Lytechinus pictus: one gene and its partners. The main gene of each other region encodes a partner of the protein of the gene in region 3 in a complex. Links are inferred from orthologs where the notes say so. Each region holds a gene or a part of one and is shown on either strand. Other genes may lie near its edges.

The links.
Region 1: the proteins of NEDD8-activating enzyme E1 catalytic subunit-like (region 3) and NEDD8-activating enzyme E1 regulatory subunit-like are in contact, whole or in part, in a crystal structure (PDB 3DBR), measured with the Homo sapiens proteins. The link is inferred for Lytechinus pictus from reciprocal best matches to the Homo sapiens genes UBA3 and NAE1. Residues at the interface, in NP_003959.3 of Homo sapiens: Trp34, Glu35, Gly36, Arg37, Trp38, Asn39, His40, Lys43, Phe44, Glu46, Arg47, Ser48, Gly49, Pro50, Phe51, Thr52, Phe56, Glu83, Lys86, Asn87, Leu90, Ser91, Val106, Ser107, Leu109, Asn110, Arg111, Phe113, Leu114, Arg116; in NP_003896.1 of Homo sapiens: Glu10, Gln11, Lys12, Tyr13, Asp14, Arg15, Gln16, Leu17, Arg18, Leu19, Trp20, Asp22, Glu44, Lys47, Asn48, Leu51, Pro52, Gly67, Glu68, Ala70, Gly71, Asn72, Asn73, Phe74, Phe75, Gln77, Arg78, Ile81, Phe92, Glu95.
Region 2: the proteins of NEDD8-activating enzyme E1 catalytic subunit-like (region 3) and NEDD8-conjugating enzyme UBE2F-like are in contact, whole or in part, in a crystal structure (PDB 3FN1), measured with the Homo sapiens proteins. The link is inferred for Lytechinus pictus from reciprocal best matches to the Homo sapiens genes UBA3 and UBE2F. Residues at the interface, in NP_003959.3 of Homo sapiens: Ala401, Thr403, Thr405, Leu406, Glu407, Gly408, Asn410, Arg411, Thr412, Ser417, Val418, Thr419, Ser420, Ile421, Arg424, Thr425, Gln442, Glu443, Ala445, Ala447, Asp448, Val449, Thr451, Pro452, Gln453, Thr454, Leu456; in NP_001265234.1 of Homo sapiens: Thr27, Arg28, Arg29, Val30, Asp34, Lys35, Val38, Lys39, Val41, Ala42, Glu45, Val54, His55, Phe56, Pro57, Asp58, Pro59, Asn60, Leu62.

Annotation. Positions count from the first base shown.
Region 1 is NC_087246.1:57,534,711-57,542,669, reverse strand, and holds the start of NEDD8-activating enzyme E1 regulatory subunit-like, read left to right. Parts: upstream 1-4,957; 5' UTR 4,958-4,972; coding exon 4,973-5,125; intron 5,126-5,873; coding exon 5,874-5,936; intron 5,937-6,145; coding exon 6,146-6,361; intron 6,362-6,982; coding exon 6,983-7,116; intron 7,117-7,959. UniProt on the Homo sapiens protein: Regulatory subunit of the dimeric UBA3-NAE1 E1 enzyme. E1 activates NEDD8 by first adenylating its C-terminal glycine residue with ATP, thereafter linking this residue to the side chain of the catalytic cysteine, yielding a NEDD8-UBA3 thioester and free AMP.
Region 2 is NC_087245.1:21,324,543-21,331,454, forward strand, and holds the start of NEDD8-conjugating enzyme UBE2F-like, read left to right. Parts: upstream 1-3,910; 5' UTR 3,911-3,973; coding exon 3,974-4,054; intron 4,055-6,296; coding exon 6,297-6,459; intron 6,460-6,912. UniProt on the Homo sapiens protein: Accepts the ubiquitin-like protein NEDD8 from the UBA3-NAE1 E1 complex and catalyzes its covalent attachment to other proteins. Together with the E3 ubiquitin ligase RNF7/RBX2, specifically neddylates cullin-5 (CUL5).
Region 3 is NC_087247.1:8,072,483-8,080,239, forward strand, and holds the start of NEDD8-activating enzyme E1 catalytic subunit-like, read left to right. Parts: upstream 1-4,757; 5' UTR 4,758-4,807; coding exon of another isoform or gene 4,808-4,986; 5' UTR 4,987-5,197; coding exon 5,198-5,211; exon of another isoform or gene 5,212-5,362; intron 5,363-5,862; coding exon 5,863-5,977; intron 5,978-7,757. Other genes in the region: PRA1 family protein 2-like, read right to left, coding at 2,117-2,256, 3,492-3,709, 4,808-4,986. UniProt on the Homo sapiens protein: Catalytic subunit of the dimeric UBA3-NAE1 E1 enzyme. E1 activates NEDD8 by first adenylating its C-terminal glycine residue with ATP, thereafter linking this residue to the side chain of the catalytic cysteine, yielding a NEDD8-UBA3 thioester and free AMP.

The DNA of each region.
Region 1 (7,959 bases), on a different chromosome or scaffold from region 3:
TAGAATCATCTTTTAATTTCTTTCAGAAAGATATTTGACAAATTACTTGTGATATCCATGCTTTAGCTGTAGAGTTTAAAATCTTCATTAAACTTTATTTAATCCGTTGTTTATCTATTTTCATTCAGAGTTTCTGAAAACGTAAACATATCATTTGTATCATTATGTAAAGAATTTCAATCTACCTTAAAAAGTAATGCACTAAATAAACTGCTCTGTCTACTACACATGTACATATAAGTTTTGATTTTAAAGGTCAAGTCCTCCCCAGAAAAAAATTCGATTTGAATTAATAGAAAAAAAATCAACCGAGCATAATGCTGAGAATTTCATCAAAATCCGCGTCGGTTGTAAAATAGGAACGTTATGAAATTTTCAAGTTTGGCTTATTTTTCACAACACAGTTATATGCACAGATCAGTGACATGCAAATGAGACAGTCAATGATGTCCACATGTTCGGGGGGGGGGGGACTAATCTTGGTTTCACTTGACAATGAAGAGAAAATTTGAATATTTCATCTCGTAGAATTAAAAGAAATAGTTTGCATGCCGACTGGGATGTACATATAAGTTTCTAGTCAAGCAAAACTTTAAAAATGTCATAACTTAATATCTTTACATCAGATTTTGATGAAATTTTAAGTGTTACGCTCGTTGTGTTTTTCTCTTTTTATTCAAATCAACTTTGTGGGGGTGGACTTGTCCTTTTATATCGTTTTCAAGTAATTGTGTCAGGAGAAAACAAAAATGAAATTCTTTTATCAATTCTGTCCATATGCTGCATGGTTCATCGTTCTTGCAGGAGGCAAAAAATAAATTTATATAAGAAAGTCTTATTTTATTTACTTTCAGATAAAAATTGTGCTAAGGAGAGATTAAGGTTATGTGTAAGACAGGGGTGGTGGTAATGGTATGTTGGTTAAGGTTGTGTATGAAGAAAGTCAAGTGATTGCTTGCTTGTGCAGGAGGATATACTTCAAGAAACTTGTTGTAAGGCATAATGCAAAATTATTTATAATAGAACTTAATTGAGAGAAAAGTATTTGGCACGTTAAGATGCACAATAATGTACATGTGATTGAAGCAAATGAGAAATGAAAGGAGTAAAGGTAGCTACATGTGTCACTGAGAGAATTGCCTGTGGTGTTATATTTATAGCATAAATCTTTGTTTAAAAGTTATTTTATTTTAGGAAATTTAGTCCCTTCAGTTTGAAAGTATAGAGGGCGGACCATGGACCACTGACCATGGAAAAAAGTCCCCCCCCCCACCAAAAAAACACAAAATAAAAAATATTACCAAGAAAAGAAAGAAAGGTGAAACACATTATTTTCTGAATATTATGTCAAATCTATCACAAAATTGGATATTTGATATTAAAATTTTTAATATTTTTCCTTGCTCGCAAGTTTTTATTTTACCTGATATGCCATATTTAGCCCACTGATATTTCCCCAATTTCAAATATATTATTATGATTGGGTGGAATACCCTTTACACTTATCCAGGATTGATAAGTCTTTATTTTTCTGATAAGGAAATTGTGTTTCCTTTAAGGAAAAAAATACTGCAAGCATGGTGAATAGCTTGACCCCCCCCCCCCCTCCAAAGCAAACTGGAGTATATAGGTTAAGGTTGGGAATAATGCGATTGCAAGAGTGACCAGTGAGTGTGGAGGAGCTACCAATGAGTATCTCAGCTCCTTTTAGAGATGTTGGTAGAACTGACGTATAGAATAGGGAGGGGGGGCCTTGGGGCTCTTGCCCCCCCCCCCCCAAAAAAAAAAAAAAAAAAAAAAAAAAAAAAAACACGACCAAGAAAAAGATAAAAGAAATGAGGGTGAAATAGAATATTTTTTGATATTATGTGAAAATCTAACACAAACTAGGATTTTAATGTCAATTTAAAAAAAAATTTGCTCGCTTAATTTTTTTTTTTAAATCAATTTATCGAGATACACCATATAAAAAGACAAGAATAAAATGAATTGAAAATATTACTTCGAATGGGAAAGTCAATTCTGAGGGAAAGGAAAAGAGGCACGCTTGTGGACGCGAGATCAGATCAAGGTCATGTCGCTTCACCCCACGCGACGCTGGCCCCACCATTTACCAAGTACATAACCCAAACAAAGATTCAATTCCATATTTCCATTTTCTATCAAAGCTAGCTCCGGGCAAAGTTCCACCGGACTTCGATAAGGTAGGTAGGATTATACAATCAGATTGGTTATGATTTAATTCAAACAAATGTGCACTTGATCTAGATGTAATTGGCGTGTAACGTTAGATTTATTTTTCCGTAGATCTAAGTAACTTCCTCAGGCCTAAAACGCAGTTACGGCACGCTATTATAGGCCTAGATCCACGTCTAACTGCACTGTAAATACGATGGCGATCGATCTGGACTTCATATTAGACCAAAAAGGCAAAAAAAAAAAAAAACTTTGGTCTGTGTCATTGTTCCGCTGGACTCCGTTGCCTCCACTAACCAATTGAGAAATAAGAAATTGAAAAAAAATGTGTAAAACCCCCCGAAAAAGCCGGCTGCTGCAGCTGTCTAAAAAAGGTTAAAACTTCTTCACGTTGCAGTGCACCTACCACACGGTACCGTACATTGACGGAGTTTGAACTTCTCGATACGGTACGATGCTGCAGGCGCAGTCGAGCTAGCTCGCACGCAGGCAGCGCTAACGTTAGTCCGAACCTAAGTTGGTAAATATTAACAGATAAGTAATGACAATGTTCGTTGTCAACACCTCATTGCTAAGAAATTCAAGTTCATGCTGCTGATACATGATTTTGGGGTTGAGTTCTGCTTCCTAACTCATGTGATGCAATGGCGACATTTCATATGGCCCTAGCAGACGAAACTCTCAAATACGGCACTGGGCATGCTCAGTACTGCTTTATTACACTGAGCATGCTCAGTGCAGTGTTATAATAGTATGCTAGCTTCAGTCCATGATTTAATCCATGGACTAAAGTTATCACCGGGGTATAACTCAGCCGTGGGTTAAATTTAGCACCGGGTGCTAAAGTTAGTCCATGGATTAGTTAGTCCACCGTTTGTGAATAGCGCGGTGGACTAACTTTATACCCCGGTATTAGTTAACCCCCGACTAAATTTAACCCCGGTATAACTTTAGTCGACCTTTGTGAATTCGGGCCAAGATGAAATGAGATGAAGTACAAAGAGTTACAATTGATCTGTTCAGTCCATCAGTGTCATAATTTTTTCTGTAGGATATTTGCTCAATGTCCTTTGAAAACAAAGAGAAGCATACTGAAAGCTTGGCGTTTACCAGCAAAAATGCTGTCCTGCAGAGTTCCTACGAGGATACCATAAACAGAAACACAAACAAACAGAATAAACAGAATTGTCCAGAAAACAGTGAATGTAAGGATATACATCATTTCTAGAAAATATTTTGAACAAACATGTATGTATTTTAGATGACATTACTGGCTTTCTATAGTTGTGATTGATCAAATCAATCGCAACTCTTTACAAGAGGCCCCATTTTTGTCTCACCTGCATAGCAGAGTGAGACTATAGGCGCCGCTTTTCCGACGGCGGCGGCGGCGGCGACGGCGACGGCGGCGGCGGCGGCGGCGGCGTCAACACCAAATCTTAACCTGAGGTTAAGTTTTTGAAATGACAGCATAACTTAGAAAGTATATGGACCTAGTTCATGAAACTTGGCCATAAGGTTAATCAAGTATTACTGAACATCCTGCCTGAGTTTCATGTCACATGACCAAGGTCAAAGGTCATTTAGGGTCAATGAACTTAGACCATGTTGGGGGAATCAACATCAAAATCTTAACCTAAGGTTAAGTTTTTGAAATGTCATCATAACTTAGAAAATATATGGACCTAGTTCATGAAACTTATACATAAGGTTAATCAAGTATTACTGAACATCCTGTGCAAGTTTCAGGTCACATGATCAAGGTCAAAGGTCATTTAGGGTCAATGAACTTTGGCCAAATTGGGGTATTTGTTGAATTACAGCCATAAATTTGAAAGTGTGTTGGTCTAGTTCATTAAACTTGGACATAATAGTAATCAAGTATCACTGAACATCCTGTGCGAGTTTCAGGTCACATGATCAAGGTCAAAGGTCATGTAAGGTCAAAGAACTTCGGCCACGTTGGGGGTATTTGTTGAATTGCCATCATATCTCTATAAGTGTATTGGTCTAGTTCATAAAACGTGGAAATAAGAGTAACCAAGTATCACTGAACATCTTGTGCGAGTTATAGTAGTTTTCAAAATCAGCACTGCTGCTATATTGAATCGCGTGATGCAGGTGAGACGGCCAGAGGCATTCCACTTGTTCATATATGTTTATGAAAGAATAACTTGATGATGACAAGTGACTAGTAATGTGTCTAATGGTATCTAAAAATACCATTATTATTATTATTACTGCCTTATCAAGATGCACTGGTTTAAGGGGTAAGGAGATGTTCAGTTCAAGTGACTAGGCTTGGTAGGATGAGCCATAGTTCTTTTAAGTCTTGTTAGCTGACTCATTGAGAGGCTGGACTATGGTGGTTGGTGATTAGGCAATAATAGCAATTTGATATTTCTTTAATACATGGGGAGCGAGTAAAAATGTCAATGTGAATGACTGAAAGGATAACAGTAGTTATAAACTAAATAACATAAATAATAATTGAAGAGGCTATTAAAGTGATGGGTGACACTGCTAGTGATTCAACAAACTTGAAATTGATTTTGATTTTTTGTTGTTGAACCATCCTCTGAAGCACAACTGTATGTAAATTTGTTTATTATTGACAATGCTGCGTATCATACTTGGAGAAAGATACTATGAGGATTGGGCATTTGTGGTTATATATGAGATTTACAGAGATCAAACAAAATGTCTTTACTTGCCCCACCCTGAACCAAGTTTTACCTATTATTAAAAGTGGAAAAGAATTGCTGACAAAGCCAACATGGATTTAAAAAAAATCATAAGTCTCTTTTTATGTCTTTCAGTAATCGAGTCTCATCCAGACAATGCCCATGATGACCTGAGACTGGATCGTCCATTCTCTAGTTTTAAAGAGTTTGTCGGGTCATTTGATCTTGCTTCTATGACAAAACAGGTATGATATGGCCTCATAAAGGCTTAGAGGTGCCAGAAATAATTTTAATGCCACTATTTAATCGTCTAGATTCTTGGAATTCTGGAATCAAGACAATTCTGATACAGAACGACATCAGAGGCCTTTAAAATCAGTTGATGAAAAGCGATATATAAAGCTTATTTTCGAAACCTGATAGAGCTATTCTTAAGCAAAATACTCTATTGGCAAGCAGTGAAAATGCATAAACCTAGATTATAATAATTGCTGTGTTTTGTAAGTTTATAAGCTTCAATTAGTGTTTAAGACCCCTGTTACACAGGATCTCCTTTGAGACTGCTTTGGATTCGGTGTAAACGCAAATCTGCCCGAGACTGGTCTGAGAAAGGTTTGCTTGATGCACTACAGGTGGAACGATTATCCAAACAACAAACACAGCGCGTGCTTGGTGCCCTGCCAAACCTATCTCAGACAGCTTTGGTAAGTTGGTGTAAACGCACAGAAAGCTGTCTTGGGGTGCCTAAAGGCTCGTTAAGATTCCGGTGTAATAGGGGGTCAAAAATTTAGGTCAACTTTTTGGAAACCAGTCTCGGGTAGGAAATCCGGTAAAACAGGGGTATAATTTGTCAATATCACTTTTAAGTTCAGTCAGGGTCTTTAATGCCCAACAACAGTCTCATTTCAGGTTTGGTGCTGTGGCTAATGTAAAAATCATAAATTCAAACTGTAGTAGCAATAATCATGACCTTTGTTGATTTTATTATTACAGGACCACATGCATACGCCTTACCTTATCCTTTTACACAACTACTTGGAGGAATGGAGAAAAGAGGTAAGATATGATTGGATTTGATTATTTTTATGCTTCGGTAAGAATAATACAGTTGTCTGAAAACTGAGCATAGGCCTATGCAGATTGATTTTTATCATTCTTTCCCCCCCTTTACCTTCTGTTGTGTTTCCCAAACTCTCTCTTCTTTCGTTTGAGAAAGATACTAAAACAGAAGTATAAAGTGAAATAATATTTGTTTTGTTGAACAGCATGACGGTGAGATACCCAAGAACTACAAAGAGAAATCTGCCTTCAAGGAAATGATCAGGCGAGGGATTCTGGTCAACGAACATGGCGTGCCTGAGCTGGAAGAGAACTTTGATGAAGCCATCAAGGCTGTCAACGCTTCCCTGACGAAGACCAGGATCCCAAGCCAAGTCCAGGACATCCTGACAGATCCTGCCTGTACTAGTCTAACTTCAGAGGTAGGTTGGACTGCTTGATTCTCCCAAAGACCTCATGCATTGAGTGTCATCGCGCTGCCATTAGAGGCTGAAGCTATTGCCTTCAAACATTTGGGATCTCCAGCTGGCGCATCTCTGACAACATTGTTTACCTTTATTCCTATAAAAGGAGGGCGCTATAAGGTTATCATGTCATATGCATGAGGTCTCTTGATGTCAAACCACAAATTAGTTACTCAGCTATTACTGTGGTGTACAAATATTTAAATGTTTCCCAAGCATAATGGCCTGTATTCACAAAGGTAGTTTCACTTGTACCATGGTACAAATTCATGGACTATGTATGTTTTGTGCATATCATAACGCCTATTTCACTGTGAAAGAAGACTCCAACCAAATTTGTCCTTTTTGCAAAGAGGGCTTCATTTTTTGTTGTATGATGTGCAATAATACAAGAAATCTGCATAGTCCATGGTACAATTGAAACCTCTTTTGCAAAGTTAGTTTTATTTTATATAAAAAGCTACACAAAATCTTAGCAGGTTTTTACATAGGATTCTGTAGAACAGTGTTGAAGATTTCCCAAACAGCCTAAACTTCCAATTTGAGATTGAAGTTATTTTTTCTTCATTGTTTTTGTAGAGTTCAAATTACTGGATCTTAGCCCAGGCAGTCAAACAGTTCACTGAGAATGAAGGAAATGGAGCACTCCCCCTACGAGGATCTATCCCTGATATGACGGCTGATTCCAAGAGATACATACAGCTCCAAAATGTGTAAGCAAAAGCAAATACTGAGTTTTATTTTGTTTGTTATGGTGTCAAAATATGTTATGAAGTAAAGATTGATTAAAGTTATATATATATTTAAGGAGTTAAGTTAAAAAAAAGTTGTTACTGTTCACAACTATCATATGATTAGACTTCATCCTCTATGAAGATCCATCCCTCATATGACTACTAGTTTCAAGAGATACATTCAGCTTACAGTTACATGTACATACATGTCTGTCCTTTGGATAGGATGTTAATGAAGGCCCATGGAGAGGAGAGTCACCAGCTAGTTAAGAACCCACTGCACTCTACTATAAGACTACATGTAGTACTGGTGTAATGGTCCACCTGCACAACCGCTATCAGTTATATCGGGAGAGAGATCCGATGGTCATAGTGATTCAGTTTGATTTTTGCCTTCTTGGCACAGGTGGCGGCGCCAAACAAAATAATATATGATAATAGTAAATAATAGACAGTCAAGAATCTATTTAATTTTACATTATATTCATATTGGACATTGGTATTGACTTCAATAGTAGGTCCTGCTGGAGAGTGTTGAAAGAAAACAAATCAGATTTATCTCTATGACTGGAAGGGTGTCCAGTAAGTCTAAAAAAATCTATTTAGATTTTTGGTAGTGGTTGGTTATTTAATTTGATGGTGATATTTCAATTCAAATTCTAAAATGAATTTATGGAAAGTCAACTGTAGGGTTTTAAGATGTAGGTGTTTTATAGGGATAATTTTGTTCCATTTGCAAATGTTACAAAACCCAATGGCAAAAAACCCCGATTGTTTCAGCTACAGAAGTTGATTTTGTGGGATCGGAATGTGCACTGCAAT
Region 2 (6,912 bases), on a different chromosome or scaffold from region 3:
GTCCGACAAGTTGTCAGATCTGACATCTTTTCTTGACTTTGATTGGCTAAAAAGAGACATCGTTCCTATAGTTACTGTCGAATAAAACAGGAATTGTCGGATAAAACGTCTGTCAAGTCCTTTCATGAAACGATCTCCTGGTCGCATTTATTATTTTCAAAAAGTGGTATTACAACATATTCATGGATATTTGTTTTCATAAACATCTTAAATAAAAGTGGTCTTTGATTGCCTTTGTTCACGTGATTATAAAATAAGATAATTCAACATGCATTTACCTATGTTTGACGGGCGGGGTGGGGGCGCCATTTTCCGAAAAGTTCTAAGGGGCGCTAAAATTAGGTCGGGGCCCCCGGGATGCAAAACCTGGATACGCGCCTGAAAATGGTGAGTAATTTTAATTCAATTTTCAAGACTTTATTCCAGACACAGCTAAGCAGAGGTCCATATGAACAAATATCATACTATACATTAAGACAGACATATATACAGAGATAAAACTGGATTAAACAAAGAACAAATAATTATGTATAGAGAGTATCGAACAAGGTATAAAATAATCACACTAAAATATTACTAGAAATAAATAATTAATACATAAAACAAAATTACAGCAATGTATGAAAAGTACAATGGAAATATTTACAAATGGTTATATGAGAAACTTGTTTCAACAAAAGACAAATATACGTAACTATTTTAGTAGATCAAGACTCATGACTCTGCCATTAGATTGTTACATCAATGCTTCCACAGTTCTGATGTATGGCGTACAGCTCTGCAGTGGGTTTAAAAATATACTTACATTAGTATTTTGAGAAATGTCAATTCTCTCAATAAACTTAAAAGTTAAGTTTCTAAAAACTGCTTGACATGAGTGTACATGGGCATCAGCAAACATTCTACTAGCACTAGAGTGTCTGAGTAACCGAAGGAGCAGTCTCATTGCATCGTTCATAATATAAGCTACCACAAGTATCCTTAAACTGCTCTTCTCACTATCTGCACCACAGATGTGCAGCAAACAGCGGAGTACACGATGCTCGAAATAATGCAACCTTAAACCCGTGAGAGCACATATGGAACTTTCTGCCCAGGCTACAAACGCTTGCCCTGGTAAATTATTCTTTACTATTGACAACACGATGCTTTCCTCACATAATAAAACTTACCCAACTCGAGCTGGCGCAATTCGCTTGCTCCTCTGGCAAATTCTTCATGCTTCAAATTGGAAATAAGCACGACTCCAAATGTGTTATCGTTCAGAAAATAATCATTATAGAAGCAAGGTTGTTTTGAACTTTAAAATAAATGGAGTTAAACATTATTGTCGAATTTATATGCTTGTAGCCTATTCTAATTACTGGGGCAAGACATGCCATTTTTTCTCAGTTGAATATTACTGATAATAACCGACACCGATTTCTCTGTCTGATTCTCTTCTTTCTTTTCCCCTTATTTTTTACGACTTAAAAATCAAAGTGTCGCCCTCTGCCTTCCCATAAGAGAGCGAAGAACGAGGAATACGCGGGGTAAAAATCCATAGCCTTATATTAATAGTTAGGCGCTTCTCTCCTTGCATTATACCGTGCGACCCACAAAAACGAACCCGATGTTAAGCGATGATTTATCATAACTTAATCACAAATACAATAAACAAATGACCTATCATTGTAAAGCTTAGAATGTCTTTTTTTTTTGCTGGTATAACATATAATAGTTTTCATCCACGCATGAGCTCGTGAGTAAAAACATTTTGGCGGAGGGTATTAAAATTTCAAACAGAAAATCACATGCCTAAAAAGTTAAATTCGTGCTCTTTAATTTGATAGCTAAATCGCAGAAAATGGTCAAGAAATAACAAAGTTAGGTTTCTTCGAAACAATGCTTGCATTTCCATAATTCCATGAAACATACGTGTTTTCACCGGTTTCCCACCCAAGCTATATCGCACAGTTAATAAAAAGACTTTCTGCACGGCTGATCGTCAACAAAACGGAGTGTCGAATAAGTCTAAAAGCTATCCTGTAAAATTATTGGAATTTAAGCCTTATTTCCATTAAACAGAACTTAGTTATTTCCCGACCGTTTTCTGTAATTGAGGTATCAAATTAAAGAGTAGATATTGAACTTTTTAAAAATGTGATTTTCTTTTTGAAACTCAGATACCGCCCGCCAAGTGACTTTTTTTTTTTCCAAATTGTTTTTGCTCATGCACTCATGCATGAATGAGGAATAATCTAAGTTATTTCAAATGAAAGAGGAAACCCTAAGCTTTACAATGATAGGTCATTTGTCTATTGTATTTGCGATTAAGGCATGATAAGGCATGATGAGACCAAAAGTTTACATACACCCATATTCAGTGAAATTTGTTCGCTTGCCAAACATCGTAAAATTTACTTCAGGTGTATATCTTCAGACATATAAATACTACCATGAGGAAATTTGGTATCAAAATGAAAGAGCGTCTTTTAAAAGCTCTTTCACATGATTGGGATGCCGTTGAAATTAATTATTTCAGGTAGAATTTTTTTGAAGAAAATGAAGTAATATTTGTGCCAAATGTAGGCCCTATTATATTGTTTTTTTAATTATATTTTCAAACAGCGTTTCATATAAATAGATAAATGTCCCGGATAAATGTCAAATCTATGATTTATATTACATTTTCTATCATGATATGTGATCACCACTGAACAAAAAAGTGTAATCTGAAATGCTTGTGTTGAGAAGTAACTAGCACAAATATGAAATGCTTTTTTTTTCATTATTTTTAATTTGTGTAAAATATGAAGATTTTTTTGGGGAAAAAAATGACACCTAAATATTTTTCAGCTCCCGATGGCAAAGCAATGCGATGAAGGGGCATGACATACTCAATTGTTTGCTGTCGAATTCATCATGATAGCACAAATATTTTATAAGATACAGTAAATTTAATGATTTTTGCCAATTTAACCCAATAGGGTTAATAAATTGAACACGAAACACATGAAAATTGCTAAAAAGTAGATTTTACATCATATCTGATGTTTTTCCATTGAAAATTTTAAAAGATTTTTTTCCATTTTTTCTAAATACGATTACTTTTCGATGTTGAAGCAGCTAAATCTAAAAAATGTTCATAAAAATAGTAAAATTATGTCATTTCTATAAAATATTCACAAATGGTGTGAGCTTGTATAACAACATATAGGCCTACCTAAAATTTGAATGCATTACTTTATGTAAAGTAGTAAAATTAACCAATTTTAATGACCCGGTAGTGGATTTAGCTCCTTTAGGAATAAAACTAAAATTTGCAATCAAGTTTTATCAATCTTCCAAAAAAAAAATTCATATGCGAGGTGGTGCATTGGATTCCCATGTCTAAGATACATATATTTAAAATAAAAAAAAATTTGGTCAAAACTGGATTTAGCCCCTTTTTTGGAATCAAGCTCTTTATCTGAAATACCCAATATTTATTTATAAAAATAAAGCTAAATAGGTCTATTACTTATCAGTAACTTCAGTCTAATCGCGGATCCAGGGGGGGACATTACGGCCTGTGTCCCCCCCTTTACGAGTCAAATTTTACGTTGGACACATTGACCTTCTCATTTTTTAGTGACAACATTTTTTTTTTTGCTTGTCCGATTGGGAAAATATGCCCCCTCCCCCTTTGGAAAATAGGAAGCACTCCTCTCTTCATTTCTCTGAATATTTTTCACCAGTATTTGTTATTGTTGTAGCTTCAAATAAATCGAGAAAATAAACATGACTAATTAGCACCTTGGCATGAGCGAATGTTCTGTTCCCCAACAACTTTCCCAGCTGCTTTCTCTCTCTCTCTCTGTCTATTTTTATTTTCTAGATTTCTTTGAAGACTCAACAATACCATAAGCTTCAGACCAATTTTAATTTGGTTTGTTTTGTTTGGTAAGAGCAAGAGACATGTTTTTATCAGGGACCATCAAGCCATAGTTCTATGTTACTTCTTCAATTCTACTCGAAGCTGGTGCAAATAATTCAGAGAAATAAAGAGAGGTGTGCTTCCTATGCAATTCACGTGAGTGAGAATAATGCAATCAGGCTGTAAATTTTTCCTAAAATATAAATATAATCTATCCGGGAGTACGGTACCGGTAATACGGTACCGGTAATACGGTATAGTAGTCTGTCATTCACTTTGCGCTCGCTGCATGCCTTACCCGCTGCCTTTCTCAGTCTCACACTCACAGTCACATTCACATCTCTCTCATCAGTCTCACGGCCACGGATCGATTCTTGTGCATGTCGCAATATTGCATTTTCTTTTGCAATGTCTAATAGAAGTTTTTGGAGTTAGATTATAGATATTCAAATTGTAATGTAGCATACTCTGTTGAAGAGAATACGTCGTATTGAACAAAATTATGAGCCAAGTTAATATAATTATAAGAGGGGGCTAACGTATTACTAATACTAGATAGATCTAACTCTAGTCAAGTTAGATGATAAATTAGAAATGGAATAGATCTAGAAAGACTAACGTTAGAGGCCGATCTAAAGTTAGATCTAACGTTGGGCCTGCTACAACGGCTGGCGCGTTGGCGCACCCATACAATAGTTACATGCAACCATGCACAGGCACAACGCTAACCCAGAGAGCTCCCGCCCGCTGCGCGGGCGGGAGCCCAGAAGCTTACCGTGTATTTGACCATATTCACCGGACTAGGGTGATTTATGGTCAAAATATTTCTCCAAATGAATTGTGAAAACAGAAAGTATACAATTACCACGATTATATATGGATGAAGGTCTAACAAGTGGCAGTTTCCTGACATCTGGGCACAGACTGGAACCTCAAAAAAACGAAAAGTTCTCTCCTTCTACCCCCGTTTCGATCGGCCATTTTTGTTAAAAATCGTAACATGGGTTAGCACAATGCATGCAACACTTCCATTGGATTGCGCGAAGTTTATTTTTATTTTTAAATCAAATCAAATTTTGGTACCGGTATGAGACTTCCCAAATGATAATATGAAGCCACTTTTCCCAAATATTCGTCAATTGGGGAAATTTTAACAATTTTTTCTTCTCTTTAATGAGCTTTGGAGGACATCACTAGCAGATTCTGAGTTTTTTGTCTAAGGGTAAGAGGGCATGCGATTTATATTCATATATCGAAATCGATGCGTTAGCGAAGTCGGCAAAGTGTCCAGTTTTTTCATTGTATAGACATTGATGGACCATTTGTTGGCAAATGAAGGCTTGCACTGCTGGTCTAGTTCAAGGCAGAAAGAATTTTTCTATTTTTGTTTAATTTTGTTGTCTCTTTAAATGATTTCCATCAGCAATAATAATCTAAAAGTATGTTTTTGAAGGTATTCTATTTATTGGTGTACGTGTATAGACCTATAATTTATGAAGCAATCATAGGAATTGCGCAAACAATGAATTTTAGACACAGTTATTAAATTACTGATGAGCTGAATTAAGGTTGTGAATTTTATTAGCGCGACCATCAAGCTTCCTTTTATTTCCGTGGAAGAGACATGCGAAACCACTTTCCAAGCCGAGGTAGGCAATTTTGCTCTGTTTTGTGTGTTTTTGATATATAAAAATGGTAAAAAAATTAAAATAGTATAGCGACTCACTGGGAAGAGCCCCGGTACGTAGCAAAAAGAAGTTTCGGCAAACATTACTTCTGTAATGAAGCGATGTTTGCCAACTTCTTAAAAATCCACACCCAAACACGGGTGTGCAAGGTTAGTCTAGCATACTAACCTTGCAATACGTGTGAGTGGATATGGCGTATCGACTTTCGCGTAAAAGTTATAAAAAGTTGCGAGCGAGCAAAGTGAGTGAGCCAAAATTTTGACATTTTATCAAAAACCCAATTATGTGATAGATCTTTTTACATGATATTCAGAAAATTATATATTCCACTCTTCTCTCTTTCCTTTTCTTTTATTTTTCTATTTTTGCCCCTTGCCTTAGTCATGATTTTTTTTTTGGCAAGAGCTAGAGCCCTCCCAAGCCCCCCCCCCCCCCCATCTGACTTGCCATGACTTAACCATATAGATCTACATGCACTCTTTGAATATGGCATTAAAAATATCAAGGTACTTTCTTCTTTTATGTCCTTATTGACAAGTCCAACTGAATGTAAGATATATAGCCCAAAATACCATGTACTTGTATATGGTGCCACTAAACTACCCGAAACACAAAATATTCCAATATCATATGCATAATGAGGATATTTCTTTATTTTTTGCAAGCAGCTCTGTTTATCGTTTTGAAATGAATTTCTTGTATCTTTACAGTTAATGATGATTACTCTGTCAAAGAAATTAAAGGAAGATGCAGCCAGGAAGTCAACTGGTTCAAACTCCAAATCCACAGACCTTAACAATTCAACAAAGCGAGTTTCCATACGAGACAGATTGCTTGTTAAAGAAGTGCCTGAAATGACATCCAGCTTACCAAGTAAGGAAATAAGTTTATAGCAAACAAACTACAAAAAAAAACAAGATAAAATAAAAAGAAAAGCTAGGAGAGATTTACTTGTAATATTCTCTTTCAAAGCTATCCTAAATCTTGCACATGTGATGGTCACTATTTCAGTTTGTAATATATATCTTTAAACTGATGGTAAGACTGATAGGAATAATTCAATAAAAACATGTTTGAGTGAGATTATTTTGGCAATTTTTTGATATATGTCAAGTTGTTATGCGTGGGATCTTGACCAAATATTTGTTTGTACGTTGCACTGGCTATCTGATATGTAATCTTTAAATTTTGTTCCAATTAATTAAAGAAAAAGGAAAACATTATAAAGAACTTGAGCTTAATATCCAGAAATCTGAATTTCAAATTTCACAGGTGAATAAATATTTTACAGGCACTACACTTATCATAAGCTTGGAATGTGAGGTG
Region 3 (7,757 bases):
AGATGCATGCATGTCTTGTCATCTCTAATTCCACAATAAATTCATATTATTTTTTCATTTCACAAGCTGAAAAACAAAGCAGTTATTCATTTTGCATCATCATATTCATCAAATATACTTAGCGATGAATTGATTATAACATACAAAAAAAATCCTTACATTTATAACTTTTATTTTTATGGTTATCAGTGCTCACATACTGTAACACAATTGAAGATAGTCATATCACTTTACTTTCAATATTCAAATCAGAAATTACAAAATATTCTTCTAAAGTGACTTCCATTTGTAACTCACTTTGCCAACTTTGGTATTCAGTTGAAATTGTCTGCCTTAAGATGCTTTATAAATGACCATCTAGTATTTGGAATTAAATCAATTATTTTGATAGGCATTCTGCACCATCTTCATAGGCTGCATCCAGGCATTTAACATGTGGAAAATTTTCACTATTTGAGAATGATAATTTATTGGTTTATGAGAGAAAAATTTAATACTTTCATTCAATATACACGGGTAAGTGGTCTGATTAGGACTTGCAACAAATAAGAATGCCAACTAATTTATTCTTTGAACTGGAATATAGCATACAAAACATGAATTTTCACCCATGATCAGCAAAAGCATGAAATTTCATAACAAGCCAAGCAAGCACAATGCAGGCAGAGATTGACAAAAATAGAAAGCCATCATGGCATTGTACTGGTCCAAAAGTTATAGACATACTTTGCACATTATATTACACATTATATTATTCATTGTTATCATACAAATATATTACATGAACATTCACTGGCATGTTAATATACCTTCATATTCACAAATTGCAAAATGGGGAAATGTGGAGATTCAAAGAAAATGAAAGATATTGAAATTTTTTTCTCTACTGTTTATACATAGACAATACTTCTTAATGATTTAGTTTTTTAGGATGTATTGATACATTCTTGGCAAGTATGCAATTACTATTACTGTCCATATGAGTTGAAGTGAAGAAGGAACACCATGAAAACAATATATATGCACTATTTCTTTCTTTTTACTTTGGCTGTGTCTTTCTTCATACATTTCCCTCTATATTCTTCACCTGACCACCTAATACCATTCACTACATATATCTGTGACCATAAGCATGTTTCCCATTAGACTAAACTACTAAAGATATATCCCATTCTTAGTTAAGTTATAAAATTATAATGAATCCATTATTAGTAGGAATAACAACTACATGTATATGATACTTGTTACAAATAAAAAATAATAATTCCCATTCACAACAAACAGTCCTGACACATTGCATTTATTAATAAGCTTATTTATAGGCTAAACATGTATAAATACTGTTATCATAAATATTAAATTGTAAAGTTCAAAATTTGCAAACTGTATCAAAACTACTTGTCTGGACTCATCAATTGTTTTAATACAAAGAAGTACAGCTTGTATACTTGTCCATGAAATTGATTTTCACAAATATGCAAGGGCAATGTACAAAACCCCGTACAATATTTTGTGAATAACTTGTATTTCAGTTGTGCCACATCTAGCGGGAGATGACATTCTTTGAAAGAACATCCAATTGTGTAATTTTAATAAACCCTGAATAATATATAGTTTTGTTATACTTTGAAATAGTTATCCATAAATACTCTTGGCTTCCGGTAAAAGTGGTTTTTTTTATTACTCAATAACAGTACCAACCTTTTGCCAGAGTCAATGATCTGTAATATATTGATTCTTAATCCAATTTAGGTTTGTAGCTAAACTTTATTTTTCTTGGTTGTTTAGTAACAACATCTTCTTTTGCTTCTTGTGCCAGCTCAACAGGAGCAAGTGATTGTGGACGATTTTGCGAAAGTTTACTTCCAGACGAACGATTTTCAGATGACTTACTTGAAGAAGACTTATTTCTTGATGGGAGAAGGGTCTTCATAATTATTCCTAAAGTCGCCAATGTACGAAATGATTGTTGACGGGGAGTGACTACCTCTCCTTCGTGAGGTACGTGGTACCAGCTTCCCTCTACCTCCTCGCCTCTCTCCAAACGATGCCTGAAGGTGTGCTCGTTGCCTTCAAGCAGTCTCTGGTTGCACAGTTGAAACCCCATTTTCTCTAGTCATGACCTTGCTTGCTCCTCCAGACCAATGGTAAAGAGGATGATGCCCATGGGTGTTCTCTTTAGACCAAGGGACTCCAGCTTCTTGCTCATCTTGTTCTTCATGTTGCGCATCCGCAGGGAGGCGTGGATGAAGATCACTGTAGGAAGACAAAGAAGAATGAAGATTCTGATAATCACACAAAAAAATTGAAACAAATGCAAACCATCATTAAAATCACTCAGGAAGCCATTACCACCAATGATGTGTGCACCCTCAGGGACTTGCTGTATATATTTTTTTCCTTCAGAATTACACATGCGCTCTTACTTTCAAGAAATCTGCAATCATCGTAGTGCTTGATGTAATCCAAAGCTATAGATACCCTATTGATTGGCCTTCATACATGTACTTCCCTCACTGTCTGTAAAGATTACTTTATAAGCACAAAGTCATAGGTTTCCCATTTATGCCATTATATAGAAAAATTCCCATTGAGAAAAATGGCCTTGCCTGAAAATTATTGAAATGTAAAGTCCGAAATGTGAATGACCATTCTGCCTAAAGATCACACACATGACTGTGTACATGTGAATCATAAACAAATGAAAATATTACCGGCAAATTAAAAACCCATTGATTAAAAAAACTATTGGGATTCCTCTTTCAACTTCCTCATGACAATTTGACCTCTTTGAACGGAATTACTCAATATTTCCTGAAAGATAGGAAGTAATGTGTCTGGACACCTAGCCTTCTAATTTAACATTTTTTTGTAGTAGGCCTAAATTCATTGTAACTGTTGCTGTCATAAAACATTTGAGACCCATATGTTCAAACAAAAGGTTTCTGAAATACATGTAGTGTCACAAGAAAATATCTGCAATCAATTGTAAATTTCTATCGATTGTAACTATAGCAAAATTGATGTTTACTTCTTACTGCAAGAAGCAGACGAGCAGGCAAGCATTAATTGCTAGAGTTATGGTTGATATTGGGACCTAAACTTGACTTGCAATTCGGTGGATTCACAATATGGTGTATCACCTATTCTGTTGTGTGCATGCATGCGAAATGCTGCACTGGCTGATGCGGTTTGGCCGGCTTCCATAAAATCATGCAGTGTACCAGGGTCCAGGAGGTGGGAGGGAAATTTACTGCATTTTTATTTGCGAAATTTAGACCGTTTTTTGATGAATTCTTACTCTGCTTCATGCCATATGGTTTTCATTTTTGAAGAATCAGTCACATAACACTGTGCGCTGCCTGCGCCTGCGCGTCATGTCGACCCCGAAGTTAGAAATTGGCCTGTCTGCTGCAACCGATAGATGCCGCACCGTATGGTGAATCCACCGAATTGACTGCAACTTTCTTGCAATGCCCCACGAGTCTTACCAGCTGCTGGTGCAGCCAAGCCCCAGATGAGAACGAGAATACTTCCAAAGAGATACATGAAAAGCCAGATCACCAAGCAGAGTGCAATTAGACAGATCACTGGATGGGCTTTCTTGAAATCGTTTACTTCTCTCTTATTGGCAGACCAGTAACCAAATCCGAAGAATGCTGCGATCACGATGGCTAAGCCCCATAACATCTGAACAGGGTTTATACAGCTGCAGAATATGAAAGGAAATGGCCAACTATATCATTGTATTCATACAATATTGATATATTTGTCTTTATAATTATGGGGGGCAATGTCCTGACATGTTAGTAGATAAAAGCATCATCTTATGCCTTGATTACAACAAAAACTAATGTCAAGCACAAATGTATGTGAAAGTTTGTAATCTGAAATTTTGTCCAAACTTCATTTTATGAAATATTGCTTGCAGAGTGCATGAAATTTTCATATTGCCTACAACTTGTCAGAACATGCATGACTTGGGTATAAATATTTTTACTAAATGCATCAGATTGTCATATAATCAGCAGTAATTTTGCTATTATTTTCATTTTCTTTGTCTTCTCAAACAATAACAATCTTCAAGGCTTAGATCTAAATTCTAATAAAATATTTTTGGGTAGTCTGATGACAACTAGTATCATATTCCATATTCCATTCCTTGTATTACCAAACGCACGAATCATAGGCGTCAGAAAATAATTTCATAAGCTAAAAGCTTTGCAATATCCTTCCAAATGGAACTTGAATAGAAGGATAATGAAAAATGGTCAAAAACACATTTTCTAAGTCTTTATATTCTCAACATCAGTGATTTTGCTGTTTTTTCAACTTTTACATGGAAAACACATGTTCGGTAATTACAATACCATTTTCAAGGGACCAAAAATAATATATTTCACATGCGAAGAGGGGTCCGACTAGTAGCTGATATCGTAAAAAAGAAAAATGATTTCGGCAAAATGTTTACATATTAATATGTCATAGCTCTTTGTGTATTCATGTTAAGAGTATGAGTTTGTTGAATTTTATAAGAATTTTGTGTTTGATATGATTGAATTCATAGTCATACCGGTACACTGATATTTACAGTGTTCGGTATTACGATCCACTCATGCACTATGTGTGAGAGCTTCTTCAACATTTTGTTTAACTTTAATCTGTTTGCTAAAACATCTGGGAAACCAGTCTTTGATTAAATGCTGACACCTGATAAAATAAAAGAAGTGATGACCACGCCCATTCCAAACAACATCATTCATCAATTTTCCAACACAAATAAAGGTGCATGGGGCAACGCACTCACCCAACAATAAGGAAAATGACGATAAGAGTGAGGAAATAATTCGATTGGTAGTACAATAAATTATCTATCACCCGATTGGCCCATCTGGTTGGATTTCCTAGGGCTGGGGCAGAAAATCTGGCCGATTCCTTGATGAAATCATCCAAAGAACGAAGAGGAGGGATTTCAATATCATCCATGATTGCGATGTTGACGTCAAATTTCACGAGCGCCAGCTCCGGCAGCAGTCGGAGAACATTTGCGACTAGTATCTCTGCCAGAACTTGTGGGGGAAACTTCTGCTAATATTCATGTCAAACTCTCCACAAAGGACTTATTTTGATATTTTTGATCATCCAAAATACATTCTATAGCTTCTGAACTTTCGAATAGTATCTACAATTTGTAAAAATGGCGGAAGAACCGTACGTATTTGTCAATTATGTTGGGGTTGTGCTTTTGTTGAGTTGTACAGTCCCATATGTTTATAATTGTGATGTAGGTCCAGAGTATGATACTGGCGGACGCGATTGAATGTGAGTGACTGCGGCTTTCTTGCAGGGGCCCCGATTCTCTACTTGGCGCTAATGCAGCTTCGCACCGGCCGACTTTGAGATAATTTCCCCACCAGTAATTGTTCACAAATATCATAGCAAGTCTCAAATCAAGATCAATAATGCTTTTCCGAATTTCGCGATTGGGTTTTTGGAATTGCTGTCCGCTTCGCTTAGATCTCTATGTTGTCATTCAAATTTTCATGCAGACAGCGCTTCTCTTGGATTCACTGTAATGCAGATATGGACTGAAGTTAGCAAAGTACGACAGCTCGCCCTTACGTTTGCAGTATGTTCGCATGATTTTGGTAACTTGCGAAGTAACTTCATCGCGTTTCATGCTTTTGTCACTTTTGAAAGTTGTTGAAGCAAGAACTTCTTTTAGAAAATCAGGGCAGTTGAACTCAGGTTCAAATAAGTGTTTAGTTTCCAAAAACAGGAATGTCCAATTCTTTAAAAAGTAAATCAGTTATGTATAAAGCAACCCTGAGTGAATTTATCATATTTCTTACCTTTTTCCAGGATGACAGTGGACAGTCCAGAAACAGCAGACTGGTCAGGACGATGGACACACATCAGAAAACTATTGGAAAGATCAGGACCTTTGGCTACTCCAGAATTTGAGCCAAGTTCAGAGGTAGGCTCTATATCTTTCAAAATTTAAGCTTTTAAAGGTTGAATTTTTATTGAATTATAATGCCTCATCTTTTATTATGTTTAATCATCTCAAAAATACCTGCTTGGTATGCAGACCACTCACCAGCACATAGTGATATGTACAAGATCTTGTACAGACGTACAAGATCATCAATGGCATTGATGATTTGAACAAGGAGATGTTCTTTACATCTGCATCAACTCAGACAACACGTGGACATCTATGCAAATTGTATGTGAAGAGAAGCAGACTGGATGTTAGAAAAAATACTTTCAGTGCCAGAGTTGTAAATGACTGGAACTCCTTGCCGGCAGAGATAGTTACTACATCAACGTTGAACAGATTCAAGTCACAGTTAGACAAGTTTTGGTCTGCAGTGCAATATACTCACCCTTGGGAATAGTAACTCTGGCACAGCACACAGGCACACGTTATTTTAATAGTTAGATGGAGATAGCAACAGTGATAGACCTGGAAACACGACTGCATAAGTAATTGCATTTTTCCAGTAGATCCGGTAATAAAGGTAATAAAGGTAATAAAATGACTATGTATTGATTCAATTTTTTTTTCTATTTTATATGATTAGTTAACCCTCATTTCAGCAATTTTTGACAAAGCTAAGGGGGAAAAATGTCAGTAAAATAGGGTATGAGGCATCAGAAAATATCACACAAACATATTTTTTTATGGACCAGTTATATACTTTGTCATTTTTAATGAAATTGAGAATGAAATTTAAATAGTAATAATGATATATATTGAATTTTGATAAAATTAAAGAAATATCACAGAGTGAGATTTTCTTGTGGACCAATCATTACTTAAAAATTGGAATTAAATTTAAATGCAATTTGTTAATCATTTGCATGAAATTTAAATTAACATCAAAGAAAAGCTACAGAAACAGACTTTTTGTAAAACCAACCAATTTAACTGAAATTTAGATGAAATGTAAATAATGATAATGATTCAGATAAAATTGAACAAATGTCACAAAGACCTGTAGGAGATTTCTGTGGAACAATTATTAATCACTAAATATCACTTAATCACAAAGAAGGTATATAATAATATCCAAGTCCTTTGGAAGCACATTTAGACGTTATTCATAATGTATTATGCGCTATACAAGAACTGACTATTATTATTATTAAAGTATACATCCAAAGAAAATTCACGAAAGTGATGATTATAGACAAATTATATATGAATGGAAAGGTCTTGTCTTTTTATACACAAATATGTCACTAAAAAGTCTTATTGATGTCGTGGAAATGCAAGATATGAAATTATTAGAGACCCTTCTCAGCCCCCCAGCCGCCCCCAGACACACACTAACGCGATTAAATACAGTCGAGAATAATGACGTCACATGATGATCGACTCACTCAGCCGCTCTCTAGCTCTGTTCAAGCCAGCAGTACACTGATAGCTGATTCACCTTCCTGGTCTCTATTTTTCTTCGAATTTACCGTTTTCTTCATGTATTGTGATATCCGAATTCTGTTTTCGACAACTTCAGACTATAAGGGAACCAGAACTGTGTTATTTTGCCCGGTTTTTATTGAATTGTGAACTGGAAAGATTGATTTTGTCCACTCGACAGTCTTCGTTGTGTTGCTCTACTAACTATTGAAAAACTCCAAGCTGCACGGTCCCATTCACTTGCTCCCGATGCATGTTGCAGGTTACGCTGTTTGATCCAGTCAAAAGTCAAGGTAAGCATGTTTGGAAACTGTACTTGTTCTGACGATGC